2 linked regions of the Alligator mississippiensis genome follow. The protein of the gene in region 1 purifies or fractionates together with the protein of each later gene. This does not show direct contact. Links are inferred from orthologs where the notes say so. Each region holds a gene or a part of one and is shown on either strand. Other genes may lie near its edges.

What was found.
Region 2: the proteins of PDHA1 (region 1) and RAB7A fractionate together in Homo sapiens (co-fractionation; 3 studies listed by BioGRID, with this or other methods). This does not show direct contact. The link is inferred for Alligator mississippiensis from reciprocal best matches to the Homo sapiens genes PDHA1 and RAB7A.

What each region holds. Positions count from the first base shown.
Region 1 is NC_081824.1:319,710,418-319,721,262, forward strand, and holds the start of PDHA1 (pyruvate dehydrogenase E1 component subunit alpha, somatic form, mitochondrial), read right to left. Parts: upstream 4,121-10,845; 5' UTR 3,982-4,120; coding exon 3,919-3,981; intron 3,856-3,918; exon of another isoform or gene 3,841-3,855; coding exon of another isoform or gene 3,838-3,840; intron 1-3,837. UniProt on the Homo sapiens protein: The pyruvate dehydrogenase complex catalyzes the overall conversion of pyruvate to acetyl-CoA and CO(2), and thereby links the glycolytic pathway to the tricarboxylic cycle.
Region 2 is NC_081835.1:19,831,682-19,841,965, forward strand, and holds the start of RAB7A (ras-related protein Rab-7a), read left to right. Parts: upstream 1-5,133; 5' UTR 5,134-5,239; intron 5,240-10,284.

The sequences.
Region 1 (10,845 bases):
AAATGAGCTAGGAAGCCGGATGACATATGGGCAAATGGGTGTGCTGCACAGAAGGCAGGAGAAGGACACGCTAGGACATTCCCTCCATCTCATTTACCTACATTTTACTTTTCCCAGCCCTTGAACATGACCCATTTTTAGTTACAGCCCATTTCTCTACTGTGATTTCCCTCCATACCTTACCTATCCATCACAGTAATTATTTAATGACCTTCAGCAAATCACTTCACCTTGGGATTTAGGTTTTCTGTAATTATATTTAACTCTTCTGAAAAGCATTTTGAAATACATTGTGCAAATGTTATATTAGAGCTAGGTATTATTACTTCTGCCACCTTCAATTTTTAACCAGCTAAAACCTTGTTCTTGTTAAAGTTCTCCTATCTATCAGAGACCCTATCCAGACTCAAGCATGCTCTCTACCCAACAGGCCCAATTCTAATATATGTCAAAAGTTACTGTTGTTGGAGTCAGAGGGATATAAAACCGATGGAAGAGATGAAAGTCAGACATGTTATCATCATGTCTCCTCTGATATCATTTGTCCACTAGATTCTTGCCCTGCAACGAGTGATCCATAAAAGTAGTTTCTCTAAGGCCCTGGCTACGTAAACTGGGGAAGAAGGGTGCAGAGTCAGCGCAGAACAGGTTGTGAAGGCAGCATAATATGGCAGCATGGGAATTTTCTAACTCAGTGTTCAAAAACCTTAGATGGACACAAGGAGGCTGAATATATTCTTTTGCAGACACAAAAATCTCCTAATACAGTGACGGAGGGGAAGCCCAAAATCAAGTTTCACAAAGACACCACCAAGAAAAAGAAATCATTTATAAATACTGAATCTCCCCAATAGCAATATTATTTTAAAATTTATACACCCACAAAAAAAATAAAGGGGAATGACTAGATATAGGAAATGGTGATATTTTCTGTGCATAACATTATTTTAAGATGTATAAACAAGCTGGAAAAACAGAGAAGGTTATTCCCTCATCTCTTTCGATTTTAGAGATAGAGCAATAATCTGCAAGAAAATAAGGTAAACATCACACTTATCTGAATTTTTTTTAGTAACCAATGTTTTTAAATTTACCCTTTTTGTTAGCACTTTAGACTCTCCTGCCAAAACATCTGTCACCTTAGTCCTCCAATTCCTTTCTTTTCATTACAGGCAGTCCTTGACTTGTAAGTGCAAAATGTTGCAACTCGAAATGTTGCAACATTTATAAACTGACACCCTGTTTCAACTTTCTAACGTCAGTTTCGACTTTACAACGCTTGATCTGATGTGATACCACACCAGTGAACAAGTTCGCTGCATCACTCATCTCCCTGGAGAACATCTGTCCAAACTTCCTTGGACACTTTCTTTAAGAAAGCAGACAAGACTCCAGAAAAACCTGCAGCCAAGACTCCTGAGAAGACTCCAGCCAAGAACCCTTCAAAAAGTCCAACCAAGAGCCCTTCAAAAAGTCCAGCAGTCACCTCAAAGAAGTCCTTCCAAATCAATATGATTGCTATTTACAATATAAATACATTAATGTAACTATGTCACTCATCTATAATTGATCGAGTACAAAATTCTGGGGTATTTTTGGTGAACATAGGGTATCAGGCCTTGGTTCAGGAACCAATCCCCCATTTATAACATTGTTTCTTATGAGAAAATTGGTTCCAAGTTACAACATTTCAACTTAAGACCCGGTTTCCAGAAACCAATTGTGGTAAGTCCAAGGACTGCCTGTACTAACAATTGCTAGGATTGAAGAGGGACTTTTAAACTAAAAGATCAGCATGGACTTCCTGAACTACTGATGTTAGCACTCAGGAAAGACTGAACCTCCTTTTCCAGCCTTTATAATTTACTTTTCATTAACAAGTTCAGTATTTGAACCTTGCTGCATATTGTTCTGCGCTGACATTCTGTTTAAACTAGCAGAACCTCCCTATGTATTGAATACGGCTTTCAGCCAGACTGAGTAGCCAAACACAAGGAGCTCAAACACTTTCCTGCCGTTTACAACAATGTTCTAAGTGCCCCAAGTTGACCCCCACTTTTGGCCCTTACTTCCCTTTACCACTCTCAAGTGGGGTGAAGGAACGGTTGGCTGGGATACACACTCTGTAAAGCCTTTCAAAAAAGTTTTTGCAACAACTGTAGGAAGTAGCCAAAGACAAATGCTCACCTAGTTCCAAATGAACCAAACCATCAAACTAGTAGCCACGTGGCACACTAGTTCTGTCACTACAGTGGAGGACACTACTGCTCCTATTAGCCACTTGCAAGAGTAGCGCATATAACACACCACTGCAAATCTATATCTCATTTTACAAACCAGGTTCAGCAGACAGAATATGCTAATTACCTGTTGTGTTGAACAATCCAAACACAAGCTGACAGAAGGGAAAAATACAGCATGAAAAGGCAGAACGAAGAGCAAAAATCTGGAGAAGACATGGCAGAAAGAAGAAACTATCCCACAAGCATGGATAGCATAACAAGATGGCATGAAGGTGAGGGCATGAGAAAAATGAAGGAAGCATCAAAGCCAAGTGATTGGGAATACAGAAAAGAGACAACAAAGGAAGTGACAACATTAGGAGTGTGGGATGATACAGGAGAACAGGTGGGGAGGAAAGAGGAGAGATCCGAGATGATGTTTTCTTTCTTTCTTTCTTTTTTGTTTTTTTAAATAACCCCACAAGAGCCTGGAAGAGTCCCCAGAGAGAACAACCAGCCCACAACAACTTCAATGTAAGAAGCACAGCAGAGCACTGCACCTTTTTGAAACAGGGATCTTTTCGCATCGCCTGCCTGTGCGGCAGGTCGATTTTGAGCAGTGCCTTCTTACAATTCTCATTTTCACTGGCTAGAAAGAAGCGCCACGACTCTGCACAACCTTTCAGCCTGGGCCAGTGATGTCGGCCTTGCTCGCTGTCCGTCTGAGCAGCACTTGCAAAGCTCTAAGTGTCCATCAGCTACGGCGTCTGTCGCCAGGGGAAGCAGCTTACAAAAGCCTGTGGTATCTCCACCAAGAGCTCTCAACCTGGCTGGACTCATGGCGCCCCCTTGGACCTGAGGCAGCCGCTGCCCACGTGCCAATCTGCACTAGGGGCTGTGACTGGAAAAATACCAGAGGCACTCTTCCACCAACAACACTGCGCACAGGGCACGGCAAGGCAGGGGGGCATGTGCAGAGCACATTCCCACATGATGTCAGTGGGTAGAGGTGGCACATGGCGGTCGTACGATGAATGGCCTTTTAACACCTCACCGGATTTCCTGGGCCAGGCCCGCCAAAGAAACTATAACCCCCTCTAACACAGGGGTCCACTAGAGATGTGTTACTGAATGCTTGGGACAAATAATAATAAAAACAGGGATGGGAGCAGAGGTCAAAGGCTAGAAACACAAGTGCCAAGAGGGGACACCAAGCAAAGCAGAAAGGACAGCGCCCGCCGACGCGGCGCCAACCCAGCGTGGAACCTCGAGGCCCCCTGGAGATGACCTCGAGGCTCCTGAGGATGCGGCCTCCTGGCTTAGCCCCACTGCCCTACCTCTACGCAGGCTTTTCCCCCTAATATTATCTTTTTCAAAATACTTTCATCCTGCTAGAAATGCCCCCATTCCCTCAGGCACAGGCGCTCCATGGGCAGCCCAACGCTCCCCCGCAAGGACCCCTTTGGACACCCGCTCCCCCGCGTAGACCCCCACTGGCAACGAAGCCAGGCCCCGCCCCCTCCATGTCACTCCCGCTACGCCCCCCCAACGTCCCCTCCCCCCCTCGGTGGGTTCCGTATGGCGGGGGGGTCTCGCGGCCCCCCCCCAGCAGTACCATTCGGACCGGGGGCAGGGGGATAGATCAGTCCGGGCTGCCGGGCTCTGCAACAGGCCGAGTGTGTCCCCCCTCGCTCACCGTCCGGGCGGCGGCCGGGCCCTGCAGCACGCGGGAGAGCGCGGCCAGCAGCATCTTGCGCATGGAGCGGGGAAGAGGCCGCAACGCCCAACGCCCGCCCGTGTCCTCGAGTCTCCTTCAGCGCCGGCCAGGCCCCGCGGCCACTACCTCCGCCGCACCACGTCCTCTCGTTGGGCCGACCGGAATCTAGCCCGGAGTGACAGCTCCGCGGCTGACAAAAGGGAGATTCGCTATAGAGTTGTGGCCGACCAGCAACGCTCCCCGAGTTCCACGTTCCTAAAGGAATTTGAACGAATCTGCCCGAGCGCTCGGCTCCTGGTTGCGCATGCGCACTGGGACTCCAGGGCTGACAGCCCAGGGGCCCTAGCAAGGCAGTGATGGGAGTGGAGGATCCCAGGGGAGCTCCTCCCCCCCCCCCCTTTGCAATTCCCAAAGTCATGTCATGGATAAACATTAATGTTCAGTTATTACAATAATTATTATGAGTTGTCAGTTAATACATTAGTTGTGGATTTTTTGTTAATAAATTATTATTATTTAAAAAAAAAATGTAGACCTGTTGAAAGTGCCTGCCTAGGTGGCTGCAGCCCCCAGGGCCAAGTGTAAAGTATCCATGGCTGGGGCATGCCTGGCCTGAGCCTTGCATTATTTGGCATTTGCCTCAAGTCGTGGTGCAGTGCAACCTTGTGAGAATCTGAGCTTTCCTTCCTTGATTTTATTTTCATGTGGACGCATAGCTCTCCATGTTGTAGAGAGCCAGGGGAATACACAGAGCTAGGGCCACCCAACCATCAAAAGAGCCAAAAAAAAAAGAAAAAATCATATTTGTCATCTCTTTAAAAAATCTGATTATTTTTGGACCGATTTCCTGATGTCAGGTGGTGAGAGAGGCCGATGCCTAATTTTTGAAGGCTTGGCCTTAGCTGTGTTGTATCTAACTGCTGCCTGGAATCGCAATTGCAAAAAAGTTAGGTAGTTGGCATGTAATTACCTGGGCTGGAGCTAATTATACATGTGGCCAAGACGCCAAGCTCAAAGCGAATTGTTGGTTACAATACGGTCATGAAGCTGACTGTCGATATGTTCCCTACTCAGTCAGAGTTGTATATTAAGTTTTAATCATTTGCAGCCTGTCTAGACAAGGGGATTTATGCTGACACGTCACTGCTTTCGTATAACTACTTTTGCTTTCGCTGGTATGAAGTAGTCATGTCTAAACCAACATCACTGTCACATGTGGGGAGAGGGAAGTTCATTCAAAGTGTATAGCATGCAGTGGGATTGGAAGTGGAAGATGGGGTTGGACATTAGACATCCCATGATTTTTTTTTTGCCAGGCCAGACTTTGACTCTTCAAGGTGCTGTTGCCATTTTCCAACTCCTAACTGATCGTTTTGGACAAGCCAGCCCTCCAAACTATGATGCTGGTAGTATGTAGGCATGCATACCAGTAGCATATACAGAGACTTATACAGATATATTTGACAAACTCATAAAAAAGCATTAGCTTTGCAAGCTAGCTGCCACACAAGCAACTGTGGCTTATGGAGAAGTAGCAGTTACAGGTGAGTTGTTTAGGCTCCGTGGGTTCGAAAATTGGGTTTACAGGAAAGGGATATGTCTTGGATTGCGATCGGCGATGGGGAGAGGCTAGAGGCGATTTGTTCTTTTGTTTCCCCTCCGGAGTAGTTAAAGCTCCGTGGGTTCGATCGTTAAGCCTCTATTGCCTGCTTGAGAAAAGCGTTGGGTCCGTAAGGATCCGCAGCGCTTAGAGATCTTCACACAGTGTGAAGTCTCCTCCTCCTGGTGTTCGTGGAGTCCTCCAACTTGGGCGGAAACCACTCAAGCCTTTTGTACGGCTAGCAAGCCAATAGCTAGCCGCCACGTGTGCCTACATTTAGAATCGGCCAATAATGTGGCGCGAATCGAAATGCAAATGGCGGGAACTCCTTTGCAACGTGCATCACTAGTATGCAAAAGAAATGCACCATGCAAAGAAGCTGCAAAACGGCGGGAAATCCCCCGTTGCACCGGAGTTCTCTCCAGCAGCAGAGAACTCCACCATGCAAAGAAAGCTACAATTTAGGCGGGAACAATAATTTAGCGGTGCTGAAGCACACACAAACAAAAACCACAACTTTGGGTTGTGACATTAAGGAGTCACAGTGGGGGATGCTACGGGAGCCCTTTTCTAGAATCATAAAACAAGGAGAGTGCTTTTTTAGAATCTCCCAGGTGTTTTGCTTGTAGCAAAACTGTAAATTAGAAAACCACACAATTTTTAAAATGACCACTGCTTCTCCACTGGAATTTGGGAAACCCTTGAACTCACCAGATGCTGACATTATAATCGGGAAGATGTTTCACTTTTAGAATCCTTGCTCTAGAATACCACTTCCCCCCTCCCCTTTCTGTGCTTTATTAATGACATCCCTCACACTATACAAAACACATAAAGATAACCACACATACACAGATAACTCCAAGGAGCTCAAAATATGAGAAATTATTAAGAAATACTGGGAATCTCAACAACGTGTTGATACAGAACATGCTGTATTAACTTATATTGTAGATGCTTTGGGAAAGAGATCTCTTATTTTTATTTGACTGAAAGTCAGGCTCAGTGACAGAATTATCAATAAAACATAAAATAGTTTAAAAATAATATTTAAAGCAAAAGAAAACCTTATTCTTTTCTACTGACTCCTAATTCCTACCAGGATTGTTATTAAGTGTCAAGTTTCATGCCTCTGGGCTTCTATTCAGTCTATTGCCTGTGCTATGAAATTTCACAAGCATTTATAAGCTTTTTCAGATTTACTTTATTAGTGAATGCTAAAAAGAAGTTACCCAGTTGAAGGAGTAGAAGGAAATATAGAGGCTCAGACAAGGGTGACTACATGTTATAGGCTGGGTTGGGGAAGGACACAACTAAGTTACATAGTAAGGATGTAGCCTGCTTAGCTCAGTGATGGGTTGAGATGGGGAATACGGGAGCTAAATGTGCAATGCTTACATAGTAAAGACTTGATCTTAGTGAAAAAAGGCAGAGAAGGAAGAAGAGAGAGTCTTACCTCAAATCCTTTTATTTTCTAACCAATTTTTGAAAAATCCAGGGAGATGCTTTACACACACACTTTATAGTATGTCTGTGTGCAAAAGATGTATTTGAAACCTTTCATCATTGTATGCTCTTCATTCAAGGATCCTCACTTTAGATATTCTTTTTTTTCCCACATCAGAGAAAACCATATTGGTGTGTAATCACCTATGCTCCATCAAGAGGAAAAGGCCCCTGCTTCATCCAAGTAATAGGAAGACTTCAAAGAAGAATACTTTCAGTATTTCAAAGATCTCTTCTGTTTCTTTCTTTTTAAGATATTGTAGAACTCAAGTTTCAGATTGATGTGTTATGAAAGAAAACTTGATAAAAGCTTTGCTGATAAAAGCTGACACTGTATCTCCAAAAAGCTGTGGCTCGAATGTGGCCGTACTTTTCGGAACCCTGACTTAGATATGGTCAGGTGCTGAGACTCTTTTTTTGTTGTTTGAGAAAGGAGAGAGTTTTAAAAACACTGAAAGTGATGTCTATCTAAGGATATGCTTCTCTGAAATGCTGCATGGCGGCAGAACAGTGCTGAGTAGATTCAACCCCCAGTAACTTCAATATCTATTCAATGTTACAGTAATTAGACTTTATATTTATTTTCTCTTAGCCAAGGATGAGGCTAAATATCAAGTTAGGAAAAAAATATCCAGCATATAATTACTTGTAAATTAAATACCGAGAGATGATACATATTGCATTTATTCCAGTATGTGTGAAGTCCTATTGAAGTTAACAAGTTCCTGTGCCTCCAAAGACTTACCAAGTTATGAGTTTCTGAAAAAACCCCACAGGTCACATGCTCAGCAAAAACATGTTCATGCTATTGCTTCTCACACCAGCTATGGACCGCATTGGTGCTGAGTGGCTACTGTGGTTACAGTGACTGACAGTGGACAAACTGTTCTTGCTGGGCTGTCAATAGGGAGTGAGTCTGGGATGTGGAATGAGTGTAGAGGAGATGAACTGGGATGAGAACAGATGGGATGAAGGTGGGCTGGAGGAGACAGAGAAATATAGGTCAAATGTAAAGGGGGCTGTAGCTTCTGTTACCATTCAAGTATATTCCTCTTAGAACCAGATGGTTCTGTAAATGCTTCTGTTGTCAGCCAAAATCTAGAACATCCATATGCAAAATTTGTGCCTCATCTCCCTCTAGTGGCTGGCAGGCACAAACAGAGGACAACAGTCTCTGGCTCAAGGGGCAGATGTTCCTGTTCCATCCCTGCAGAAGAGCCACATGGAATTTACCACTTCCTTCAGGAGTCTGTTCCAGTAATCACATTCAGTGTTAGAAACATGACTCATGTCTCATTTGAATTTGCCTGGCTCAGCTGCCAGCTATTTGTTCTTGTTGTTCCTTCTTCTGCAGTATTAAAGAGTTCCTTAGTGCCCAGTATTTTCTCCTCGTGAAGGCACTCATTGTTATCAAGTCACCTCTCTCCTTTTTGAGAAGCTAAGCAGATTGAATTCTTTAAATCTCTCACTATAAGGCATTTTCTAGAGCTCAAGAACATTTTATTGTTCTTCCTACACACATACACACCCACATGCACATGCACACATTTTTTCAAAATCCTTTTTTAGATATGAAATCCCAAACTGCTAGACCAACCTCCATTCAGTGATTTCCTTTTGCCATTTGGAGCACACACTGAGCAGGCTTACACATTGAACACCAAGGGGAAAAACTGGTAAATGGTCATATATTATTGGGGTTTTTTTCCCCTACAGGATCCCTACTTGATTCAGTACACTGGATGAACAGAGTTCAGAGAACATTCAGGTCTGTAGGTTATAATGCTGTTATTTGTAAAACAAATACCTTGTTTGTCTTGTTTGTTGCAGAAGTGGGATGTAGTAAATGAGGCAGGCCATTGTAGGAGGAAAGAGGAAGTTCTTATGGTCAGTGGTGCTCAACCTATGCCCCATGTGCCAGATGCGGCCCACAGAGCTGTCATCATGAGTGGTGGTTTTTAAATTTTTAAAATGACCACTGCTTCTCCACTGGAATTTGGGAAACCCTTGAACTCACCAGATGCTGACATTATCATTGGGAAGATGTTTCACTTTTAGAATCCTTGCTCTAGAATACTACTTCCCCCCTCCCCTTTCTGTGCTTTATTAATGACATCCCTCATACTATACAAAACCTATATTCTTCTGAATAGAAGCCCAAAGAGGCATGAAACTTAACATAACAATCCTGGTAGGAATTAGGAGTCAGTAGAAAAGAATAAGGGTTTCTTTTGCTTTAAATATTATTTTTAACCTATTTTATGTTTTATTGACAATTCTGTCACTGAGCCTGACTTTCAGTCAAATACAAATAAGAGATCTCTTTCCCAAAGCATTTATAAGCTTTTTCAGATTCACTTTATTAGTGTGAGTGGTGGTTGCTCCTCAAGGGAGCAATCCTCAATGCACAAACTAAGTCTATTCCATCTCGGAGGAAAGGCAGCAAGAGGGCACAGCAGCCCCCCCTGGCTCTCCAGGGACCTAGCAGACCTCCTGAGGCTAAAAAGAAAGGCCTACAAAGGATGGAGGATGGGAGTCGCCTCCAAGGAGGATTATTCTGCACTGGTCTATATAGGATTATTCTGCACTGGTCCGGTCCTGTAGGGAGCAGACCAGGAAAGCCAAGGCTGCAACTAAACTCCAACTAGCTTTGAGCATCAAGGACAATAAAAAGTCCTTTTTCAGATATGTGGGGAGCCGGAGGAAAAGCAGGGGCAACGTTGGACCCCTGCTGAACCAGATGGGGCAACTGACAACTGACCCAGGAAAAAGCCAACCTATTAAATAGGTACTTTGCGTCGGTCTTTCATCAGTCCCATGGGACGCCCATGCCCGCTACGGGACAGGGAAGTTTGGGTGAGGGTGATCCCCTGCCCTCCATTGATGCTGACTTTGTGAAGGAACATCTTGAGAAGCTGGATACCTTCAAGTCAGCTGGCCCTGACAATCTTCACCCCAGGGTACTCAAGGAGCTGGCGAGCATCATAGCCCAGCCTCTAGCATGGATCTTTGAAAACTTTTGGCGCTCTGATGTAGTGCCCGAAGACTGGAAGAAGGCCAATGTGGTGCCTATCTTCAAGAAAGGGAGGAAAGTGGATCCGGCTAACTATAGGCCCATTAGCCTGACTTCTATCCCGGGGAAGATCTTAGAAAAGTTTATTAAAGAGGCCATCCTTAATGGACTGGCCGATGCCAACATCTTAAGGGATAGCCAGCACGGGTTTGTTGTGGGTAGGTCTTGCTTGACCAATCTCATTTCCTTCTATGACCAGGTGACCTATCACCTGGACAAGGGAGAAGAGATTGATGTCATATATCTTGACTTCAAAAAAGCCTTTGACCTGGTTTCCCATAATCACCTCTTAGAGAAACTGGCCAATTGTCGCCTTGGGTCCTCCACGATCCACTGGCTGGAAAATTGGCTCCGGGGTCGGACCCAGAGGGTAGTAATTGATGGAAGTCACTCATCGTGGTGTCCTGTGACCAGTGGGGTCCCCCAGGGCTCTGTTCTTGGACCCATACTGTTCAACATCTTCATTAATGATGTGGACACTGGAGTCAGAAGCGGACTGGCCAAGTTCGCCGATGACACCAAACTTTGGGGAAAAGCATCCACACCAGAAGACAGGCGGGTGATCCAGGCTGACTTGGACAGGCTCAGCAAGTGGGCGGAAGAGAATCTGGAGGTGTTCAATGCCAATAAATGCAAGGTTCTCCACCTTGGGAAGAAAAACCCGCAGCATCCTTATAGGCTCAGCAGTGCTATGTTGGCTAGCACTATGCAAGAAAGAGACTTGGGG
Region 2 (10,284 bases), on another chromosome or scaffold:
AGGATGCAAAATCAGGCTGTTAAACCAGATTCCCACTTTATGACCAAAAAAATAACTATGGAGAGCCTTTCAGCTGTAGCTTCAGGCTGTCTTAACATTGTCTGTTAACATGTTTATATGAACATAGGTTGTAAAATTAATACCTTATACAAATAAAACAAAAGCCAACAATTGGGTGACACTTGTAAAAGGAACAAGAAAGTTTTTAAAATTGCATTATAAAAACAGACACCTTTAAGACTTCTTGAATTTTGCAGCCAGTAGCATTGCCTAAAGGTTCAGCCCCACAAACTGGGGCTGGTGATACTATCAGGATAGGTTTATTATTAGAAATACTACATTTGGGTTAGATTAGACCAGCCTCTCTGCCAGTTCTTCCATGAAACGTTTCCATGTGTTTCCTGTTTACTTTGTTTGTATTGTCTAGTGTAGAGCTGGATTAAACTAACATTTTTGAGTCCCATACTCCTGTGTCAGCTGGCTAAACTGCTGTTTCCCCTATGATTCCATATTACGGATAATAAAAAAGTGACACTTTGTCACTTCAACCACACAGGAACTGCTCCAACAACCTTACTGATACTGTTGATCTGTTCTTCATTTGTTCTATTTCTTCCTTTCCCACATTTTTAGTTCCACTTTCCCATCTTCTGCTTCCCCATGCCTTTCTGTCAGCTACCTTGCAGAAGTTTGCTGCACATGGGGGCATGTGTCCCAAGGTGTGAGAAACAGTTGTGCTGTAAGGCAACTGGAGGTTTAAAGGAAATCAATGGAAGGAGGTGTTCTAAGTGCTCCAAAGTGTCCCAAGTATTTAGCTTGGTAGACAGGTTAGCTAATGGAGACTGTTCGTCACAGAGAACAAGACGATGGTGGAGCAGATTTTTACTTCCTGATTTGCAGGAATTCATATAAGAAAATGTCTTGATGTCTTACGTCAGACAACCCAAAAAAGGACTACTTCAGGCTACCCAGCAAAAGGACCTGAATCTATTACCATGTATGAATGTCTGTCATAGGCAGGCCACCAATTCCTACACCATTACAACTGCAAAGAGTTGAGATACAGTTTCAAAAAGATCCAATATTCAAGGTTTGATTTGTTTTTAATTCTCAAGGAACTGGACAGGAAACACTGACTTCCTTCCAGGCTATGAAAAGAGTTTGTGCTGGCCAATCTCTTCCTAAGGGTTTCTGATGAACTGAGCTTTTGTTTTAGCAGAGCCTTATTTGTATTTTGGTTGATTTTGGTGTCTGTCGTTAGGATCCAAACAAAATTATCAGGATGCCTTGATCCATTCCTCCATCTGTCTTCATAACATCTTTCCTCTTTAACTTCTGTGTCTTTGAATTTAACTGCAACGTACACAACCAGTTGTGGTGCTTATATATGGCAAACGTCCTGTTCACTTCAATGGGAGCTGGATTGGAGCCCATTCATCTGATGAAAGGCAGCATTCCCTACAAGGATTAGCAAGCCACCATAAGAACATTTTTGCATGGCACAGCTGTCAGTTATGCAGAAAGAGAAACAAAGCAACATCCAAGCCTTGTGCTAGGTTTTTTTCTAACCACCATGTAATAAAAATATCCCACTGAAAATAAACAAGTGGCATTGTTGCCAGAATCACTGTACACCACAAGAGAAGGCAGGATTTTCCATTATGTACCATGCAGGAAAAAATAAAAAGAAACCTTTAGCAAAGTGGGCAGAGGAGCCCAACAGCTGTCCGGTCAGCGCTGGCTGAAAAGAGATTCATGGCAGTTGTCACTTGACTTCTGTCCCAGGGCAGACGAGCAGTTTAGGATCTCAGGCCTGAATAACCCAAAACAGGTCTTCCTCTGGGATTATGCTAAATAGCCTGGCACTGTGTTTGCAGTTCATCCAACATGTTACAGCCTTTTCTCAGGGGAATACACCAATAGAGCAACTGCTATAGTCACTCCACGCCTGAAACCCATGGCAAAATAGGCTCCATGGGGTGGATTTTGGTAGCACCATGTCTAGAGATATGGTTCTCCTTTGTGATTTCTGTCCTAGACCTTTTCACTAAGTCTTTATTCTTCTGTTCAATAGTCCATTACCCTAATTACCACCCTGTCCTTCCCGTTTAATGATCTCAGTGTGCTTAGTAACCATTAATAAACATCAGAACCCTATTGCAAGCAGGGTCATATCACGAGCAGCATCCTACAGATGGGGAGGCTGAGGCATAGAATAGGTAAATGGCTTATTCGGTGTCATGTAAGTCAGGGATATAACCTCTCTTGACTTTGAATCCTCTGCTCTAAGTGTCCCATTCAGTACCTCATGCAGGCGATATTAAATCTCTCATTGATTGCAATGATATTGTACCAGGTCTGAAGACCTGACTCTCACATAAGCCATTTTCATTTGGTTCCCTTTGCAGCAATACAGCCAAGATGCAGTGGATTCTGTGATGGATATTTTTTTTGACAGGGTTGCAAATCCCAACAGATTATAACGATGATAATAGTTTATTTGTAACATAATACTGCACTGCTCTTCTATCAGCAGGTCTCAATAGGTAGAGAAAAACCAGTGTCTTGATTCCTAAGTTTATTCTTTTATTCTTAATCATAAGCTTTTTCACCTCTTGCAGATACAAGAATTCAAGTCTGAATTAAAAATAATATATAGGGTTTTACTTTTTCACCATGCCTCTAAAGAACTTTGCTAAAATTATCTTTTACTTAATTTGCCTGGGTCCTTTTAGTTTTTCCTTTCCCTGATCCACAGGTTAGCTAACTGATCATGTGATTAAGATAAATACTATAACATATGAAAGTACACGCTGAATAATGCAATGAGTCTTCTACCAGTATGCATGGCAGGATATACAGGACAGTTACTGTTTCTTACACATATGGGTGTCAGTGAGCTTACACAATCCCATTGCAGCTCTTCTGCTTGTTCTTATATTAATCATTGCTTAACAAGTGCACCTAGACACGTTTTGCAGCTCACCATTTTTAATTTATAAGCAAATCTTTTACGTAACAAACTCTCTTGTTACCAGACTGCTATGCTCAATGTAGCACTTACAAACCAGCCTTGTAGAATAAAAATTAGTTCAGCTTTGAATCAATCTTTGTTTATTGATTGTTATGCTAGAAGACTGGCAAGAAATTGTGTTTATTTCTGTTTCTTTCCTTAGAAATCTCAAGAATGGCAAATTGTTGGTCTATGATTGGGGTACCTGGGTGCTAGGAAAATATAAATCAAATATAAAATAGCGATGGGTCACTGATTTTTTTACAAGCTATGTAGAATAGTAGCATTAGTAGTCAAGTAGTAGGTACCGTTTTAATTTCTTCCCAAATAAATCTTTAACATTTATATAATCATTGGTTTATCAAATAGCTTAATGGCTAGTCCAGAGAAAAGGCCTCTTCACTAAGGCCCAACCCTTATCCTGCAACCACTTATGCACATACTGAACTTCAAATATAAGAAATCCCACTGATTTGGGAATGCTAAAGTTTAAAATTGAGCACGTATTTGCAGGATCCAACCGTATACGTATAAGCCTTTATAACTGAGGAGGGTCCAGACGTTATGAGAAGCAAGTGAATCAACACTGACATTTTACAGCTATCTTGTCCTAGAAGTTCTGTTCAAGGATTTATCCTAATTCAGTGGTGATCCGCCTTTTTCCCTAGTGGGCCAGATGAGCAGTGCCTGGTCTGTCCACGGGTTGGATCTGGCTGGTGGTCACAATCCAACGCCCAGGGCAAGTACAGCCGTGGCTGCATGGAGAGGGAAAGCGGGGTGGTGGGGACAGCCCAGCCTGGCCCTGATCCAGCCGTGCAGGGGAAGGGAGCGTGTCCCAGCCCTGATCTGGCTGTGTTGTGTGATGGGCTGGGGGGGTCAGAGAATTTGGCAGCAGGGACCATATTAATGGCCACTGCTCCCCTGCTGCCAAATTTCTCAACCAGTTGGGAGCTCCACATTTGGCCCACATTTTACCCCCTGCTCTAATTTGCTTGTGCATGTCTGAGGGAAGGAGGATTATAGACTAAAGCATGAGATTTAAGGGGGGGACTGCACGCCTGCAGAGGTGCGTAGAGTCACAAGGGTTTTTAGGAAGGTTGCCAACTCTGAATCTATTCCAGGTTACCAAAATGCCAGCACACAATTCAAATGTGCCACATGCTTGTGTGTACCAGTCACACGTTACGGCGCTTAGACTTTACATCAGGAAGGCAAAAGCACGTTGCTGTTATGCTTTAAAAACTCACCGGACTACCGTATAAATCAAATTCAACATTTGATATTTCTTTTAATGAATGCCCTATCGTTTATCCCTCCGGTGCCCCTCAGCAGTCTCCTGGAGATTTACGTCTAAACCCTGGAGACTCCTGGACGGTGGCGACCCTGCTTTTTAGCAGCCAGGGTCCCTCGCAGAAGAGGCCGTGGAGCTGAGCAGCAGCAAAACCCGATACAGGGGCAATTGGTCACAAAGCTCGGCTTGAGCAGAGAGGAAGCAGAGCAAGAAATAAAGCAAGCAGCAGATTATGACTGATTTCACTTAATGACATTAGGATGCACGCGGGGCCTCGCAGAGCGCCAGACGCGTGCTTTTCCCAGTCCTCCTGCCGCGGGATTTGTTCCTGTCCCTGCCGGTCACGCAGCCGGCGCGTCCAGGGGCCTGCGCCAGGGACACGAAGGGCTGTCCCCACCAGCAGGTGCGGCCAGGCTGACTGTCCTGGGACAAGGCCACTCGGGCGGGGTCCTGCTGCGGGACAACCCCCCTGCCCCTCTTGAAGTCCCTGTGAGGGATATCAATTAACACGTGGCCCCGGGGCCAGTCAGGGCTAAATGTGCGTGTGAACCATTGTCCCAGCCTGTCTGGACAAGCCTTCCCCGGTCCCAGCAGCCAGCTGCAGGCGGCCACGGGAGTTACAGTTTTAATCCGGATTACGAGCGTCAACACGGGCACAAACCTGCATTGCTACGATACCCCGTCCCGCCCCACGTGACACACAAACCCCACCCACCAGGCCCATGCTCGGGCCCAAGATGGCCGGCGGGGGGTCACGTGATGCGGTCCCGACGCGGCCTCTCCCTTGCGCGCTGACGTTACGCGTCGCCGGGCGGGTCCCGTGACCGGAAGCTGGGGAGGGGGAGGCGGAAGTGAAAGCGGAGCTGTCGGGGCCCATTAAAGCGGAGCGGAGCGCAGAGGCGGCCACACTCGCAGTGCCGCGGCCCGACCAGACGGTGAGTGTCGCTGTTCCCTCCCTCCGCTCCCGGGCCTCAGGGTGGCGGCGCCCCCGGGGGACCCCGGGCGGGGCGGTTTGGGGGGGTCTTTGTCTCCTCCCGCGGGGGCGGTGCGGCAGGACCCGCCCTCTCCCCCCGCGCACCCCCCCCGGGTTTGGTGGACGGTTGTTGCGCAAGGGGCAACTTAGGCCTGCACGGGGCCCGTGGCCGGGGGTGGTGCAGCCCCCTCTCTCCGCCCGTAGGGCGGGGGCGGGTCCCCCCGCGGCTTCTGCTCCGCCTCATCTAGCCTCGCCTGTGCTCCGGCCCCGTCCCAGCCCAGCTGGAGGAGCGGATATTGTGTGTCGGGGGGGGGGGGCGAGGTGCTGGGGCTGAACAGGCAAGGTGGGATTGTAGCAGTGCACGGGCAGCTCAGAGCGGTTGCTGGTGTCTGGTGGCCGGCACTGGCTGTTCTCGCTGGCAGCTGTGTGTGCCTGACAAGCTGTAACCCAGTGTTGTTGGACCCCTGCCTGGGGCAGAAGGGCCTCACCCCCCAGGCAGCCCTGCTGAAGAGTGTGCGTGCCACTGCTTGGCTCTGGCTTTCTGTGTTTAATATGACTGACTTGGAAATACTGGTTTCCTTGGCTGTCAGTTAGTGGTGTCAGCCAGTGCCCAGTCTGGCTTCTACAGAGCAAGTGTGGCTGCCCGTAGCGTTTGCTCAACTGCTCCTAGTTACAAATAGGTCTGGGGTAATGTCAGGGTGGTCAGCTGGATATTGCTATGTAATTGAAGCTGTTGTATGCCATACCCTCTTAGTCAGGAAGAAGCATGCTGTTTTTCCCTTGTGACTTCAGCAGCTGACCAAACACACATGACTTGCTATCCATGAACTAATAAGACTTTGTCAAGGTATGGTGAATTGAGTGAACAAGGAAAGTATCCTAGGTTGAATGTTGTTCTTCCTAAACGAACCAAGCGCCAGGCTGGAGATGAAATGGCAAACACTTCTCTTGTGGGTTCTCTCAACTGATAGCAATCACAGGCCTCTAGTCTAGAGAAGTGCAAGATACTGTTAAACTGCTGAAATAAGCAGAACTGCTGTGAAAGAACCACAAGTCCTGTTTTTTTTTCCAACAGCCACCCTTGAACAGATGGGAAGAGTAATGGTGAAGACTCTCAGGAGCTAAGAAGTTAAACTAAGGAACTGCAGGCTTTTTGTTGTTGTTAGTCTTCTTCCCCCCCCCCGCCCCCCATGCCCCCATTTAGATTAAGTGCTGTTGTCATGATACAACTTTTGTGTAGCTATAAAGTAGCTTGAGGCAGAACGCTGGGTTTTGTGAAGCCTGGCTTTCAAGGAATTTTCACAAGCAAGTGGCAACATTTTTTGAGAGGTCTGTGTGGTAGAGTACTGCAGATACCCGTGATGGCTCTGGTATCAATAGCAGTTTACCTGTAGTAGCTATCCCGTACATACTAACAGCCCAAATCCAAAATCGACTTTTTAGGTGGGTTTTTCAGTACAAGATGGCACTACATCTGGATAGTTGCTGGGGGCAGAGCTAGCTTTGGCCTGTGGTATAACATGGGCACTGTGTTGGCTCAAAAAAAAAAAGTTATCCTGTTTTAAGACAAACTGGCTGCTGTAGCTTGAGTCTTACTTGCTTTACTGCTATGAACAAATGTCCCAAAGACAAGTGTAGTTTTACTGTACTTTGAAATAGACTTTAATATAAGTTTTTTGCACTGCAAGGGCTGCACCTTTTTATGTGGGTAGGCTGTTTCCTGTCAGGACAAAGTTATGGACAAAGTTTGTATATGCCAGATTTCCTCATAGACAATCGGGTTATCTTTTTCCAGGAATGTAAGTTCCAAATGAACTTACATTGGATTTCTCTTCTCTGAATGTGTTTCATGTTTCTGTGAGCCAGCAATTTGCAGACTGACATGGGCAACCCTGACTGGATGGGTGCAGAAATACAGACCTAATGCATCCCAGCAGAGGTCTAGAATGCAAGTTAAAGGGATAATAGTGCAGGATGTTATGATGCAGTTAAGATGGAGGGAGCTGCTGGTCCTCTGGACAGGTGGAGTTGCATAATGGCTGGAGTTGAATTTTGATATCCACTAGTAAATTGTGAACTTAAACCAATGCAATTCTTGCATAGTTTGAGACTAGTGTGCCTCTTCAAATCAATGCAGTTTCTAGGAGGGAATTTGAAGTCTAGAAGAGTTGTTTTAATGCTAGTATATAGTATCTGCTTCGTAGCCTTGCAGTCTCTACTGTAGACTTTTTCTACCCAAGCTTGACTTGTAACTGTCACAAGGGTGTTTATTATTGGTAACAGAAGTTGAAGAAACTGTGACAAAGAGGATACTCTTAAGGCTGAGATTTGTAGCATAATGCCTCTTCTGTCCTTGTTTAAAAGTACTGTTTTGGTTTTTTGTTTTTTGGGGTTTTTTTGTTTGTTTTTTTTTTTATTGCCCAGCCTGAAATGGGTTAAGTTCAAATAGTGTGTTTGTCTAAGTTTCTGATGCTAGAACTTTTATTTGGGGGGGGGATGACAATGCATGAGATGGCTGAATTGGCCTGGCTGCCAGAATGCCCAAAGTAGTTGGGACTTGCTCACTAGTTTATGGAACAGCTTGGGTTAAAAGCAGTACTTCTGCCTTGTTAAACATGTTGGAAAAATTTGTGCTAACCTACCTATTCGAAGGCAAAGTCATAAGGATCCAAGTGCTTTATAGTGTTCACATGTTCAGGTCAAACATGTTCTAGTCAAGCATGACACTGGCTTTAGCAATTGCTGTCTAACAATTGCCTGTTAGTGTTGGATTCTTTTTCTAGCTGAGTCTCTCTATTTCTAAAACCTGCTTCTGTAATGACTTCTGATTATGTAAGACCTTGACGCGCCTCTCCTCTTTAAATTTGGTTGGTTCTGGGAATTGCAGGAAAGTATTTAACTGTGGCTGCGCATAGTTACGAGTGTCTTAGTTCTGCAGTTATCTGACTCTGTTAAGCTAGCCCCTACCTTGCCTAAGGATTCCTAAACATTAGACAAGGTCACTGACTGTTAGCAGTCTCCTTGAAATTACAGGCAGCTGGGTTATGTCTCCCTGTCACAAGGTGCATTTACTTTCTCAAGATTCCTGCTTCAAATGCTCTTGTTGATCTTTTGCACCAATCTTGGAGATGCAGCTCCTGGATTCAACTTGCTGCTGCATTTTCTTCTTGATGGGGATCTGCGTTGGTGATGTCATTGTTGCTGTTTGCTCTGTGTTCCTGTGAGACTGCTCCATCCTTTCTAGTGCCAAGAATGAGAAGTTCCATGCATGAGGCAAGCTGTTTCAACAGTACTGTTCATAAAGCACACCTTCAGTGACAATAAGGAAAGCTTTTTTGAGGATGATTAGAAACCTGTCGGTTTAAAGTTCATCTGAAATAGGGAATTCGCTCTCTCTCATCCAGCAATAAAGCTTCATGAACGTTGCTTCCCATTAGGTCATGTTCTGAAGCAAACTGCAAACCTGCAGTACAGGTTGCTGGTACAAGCCATTTGGGATACTACACAAGTAATTTTCTTGTCTATACATATTAAACAGGGCTATTTTGGTAATCTCTACCTAGAGTGACTAATGCATCATGCTTGTATGTAGCTCTGCTTGAACTCTTGAGGATCTAAGGTTGTCTGTCATAATATGAATTTGCCCCAAGCTTGTTTTGTCTTTGTTTTGTTTTTGTTTTTTGGGGGGGCGGGGGTTAAGCATACATAAACTCTGAGCACTGAGTGTCTAGAACTAGCCCATTCTTGATTGGGGATGAACCTGCATCAGAAGCAACATGCATGCTCATCTTGCATGACTGACCAGATGATGATGATGACCTTTTCCCAGGGAACATAATGTGAATGCTGTTTTAATTACTGAATATGGTGCCACTTTTTTAAGGGTGGTAGACTCCTTCCTGCAAGGGAACATGCAAGTGAACTTGATTGTAGCTTTAGAGCTCAATTTTTACTTTAAACACTATTGTTCCTGGGATTGTTGCTTTTCTTTGTTCTGCTCCACACCAGCAGCTCCTTAATTCTGAAGTGGCCAACTTAACACACTTGTAGTGGTTGAGCAGTTGGCTTGTTCTCCTTCTGGAGGATTATAGACTGGACACCTCCTAGATGTTGTGGTATTGCAATTAGTAATAAACAGTAGGATAGCTTTGCAATGGTAAGGAACCTTAATCTAGGAGGGCAGTAATAGCTGCTAGATCCAGTCTAAGAATAGGGTGCCTTATGAGGGAGAGGTGTATAATCTATTTGGCCAAAAGATGGGGGGGGGGGGGGGGGGGTGCGTGCGCGCACACCTAATCTCCCTTGGCCATGAAGCAGAAGCCATCTTCCTAGTATTTATGCTGCTTAATTGCTCTAACTGCCTTTGCTCCATCCCTGAAATCATAAGGCATTCAGTAAAATAACACAGTTACTTTGCTTCACACTGTTACTGGGTTTGTGTTTGGTATTTTGTGCATGTAGGGAGGGAAGTGCTAATATTGCACAAATGCTTCTTGAGCAATTGTAGATGGAGTTTTACCTACTTGATCTTCAAACCCCTTGACAAATGAGACCATTCTTCTGGAACAGATGTAGCATTCATCCTTCCTACACGGTCCCAAGCATGACGTTCAAGAATGGACACTTTTTTTTTTTTTTTTGTAAGAAGGAGAAATTTTAAACTGTTGGGCATCTTGTGTTTATAACCTTGGTCTTCTGGAGTGAGAGGCCCAAATAGAAAAGGCATGATAATATCAGTCATACTTCCTTCTGCAGGAGAGAACTGATTTAAGAATGAGTGAGTAACTTAAGTACTGTGAAGAGAACTTCCTTACTCTTGTCTAGACAAAGCTATAAAACTGTTCACTAACTCGTTCTCACTGCTTTTCCCCCCCACGCATGTAACAATTCAGTATTTGGACTTTCCTTAGTAGCTTACGGAAGTGTCAGGGATGGAGAGGCCTCTCTGACACTGACCAAGGCCTTTCTGAGAGACCAGGATGTGCATGGGGAACTTGATCAAAGAAT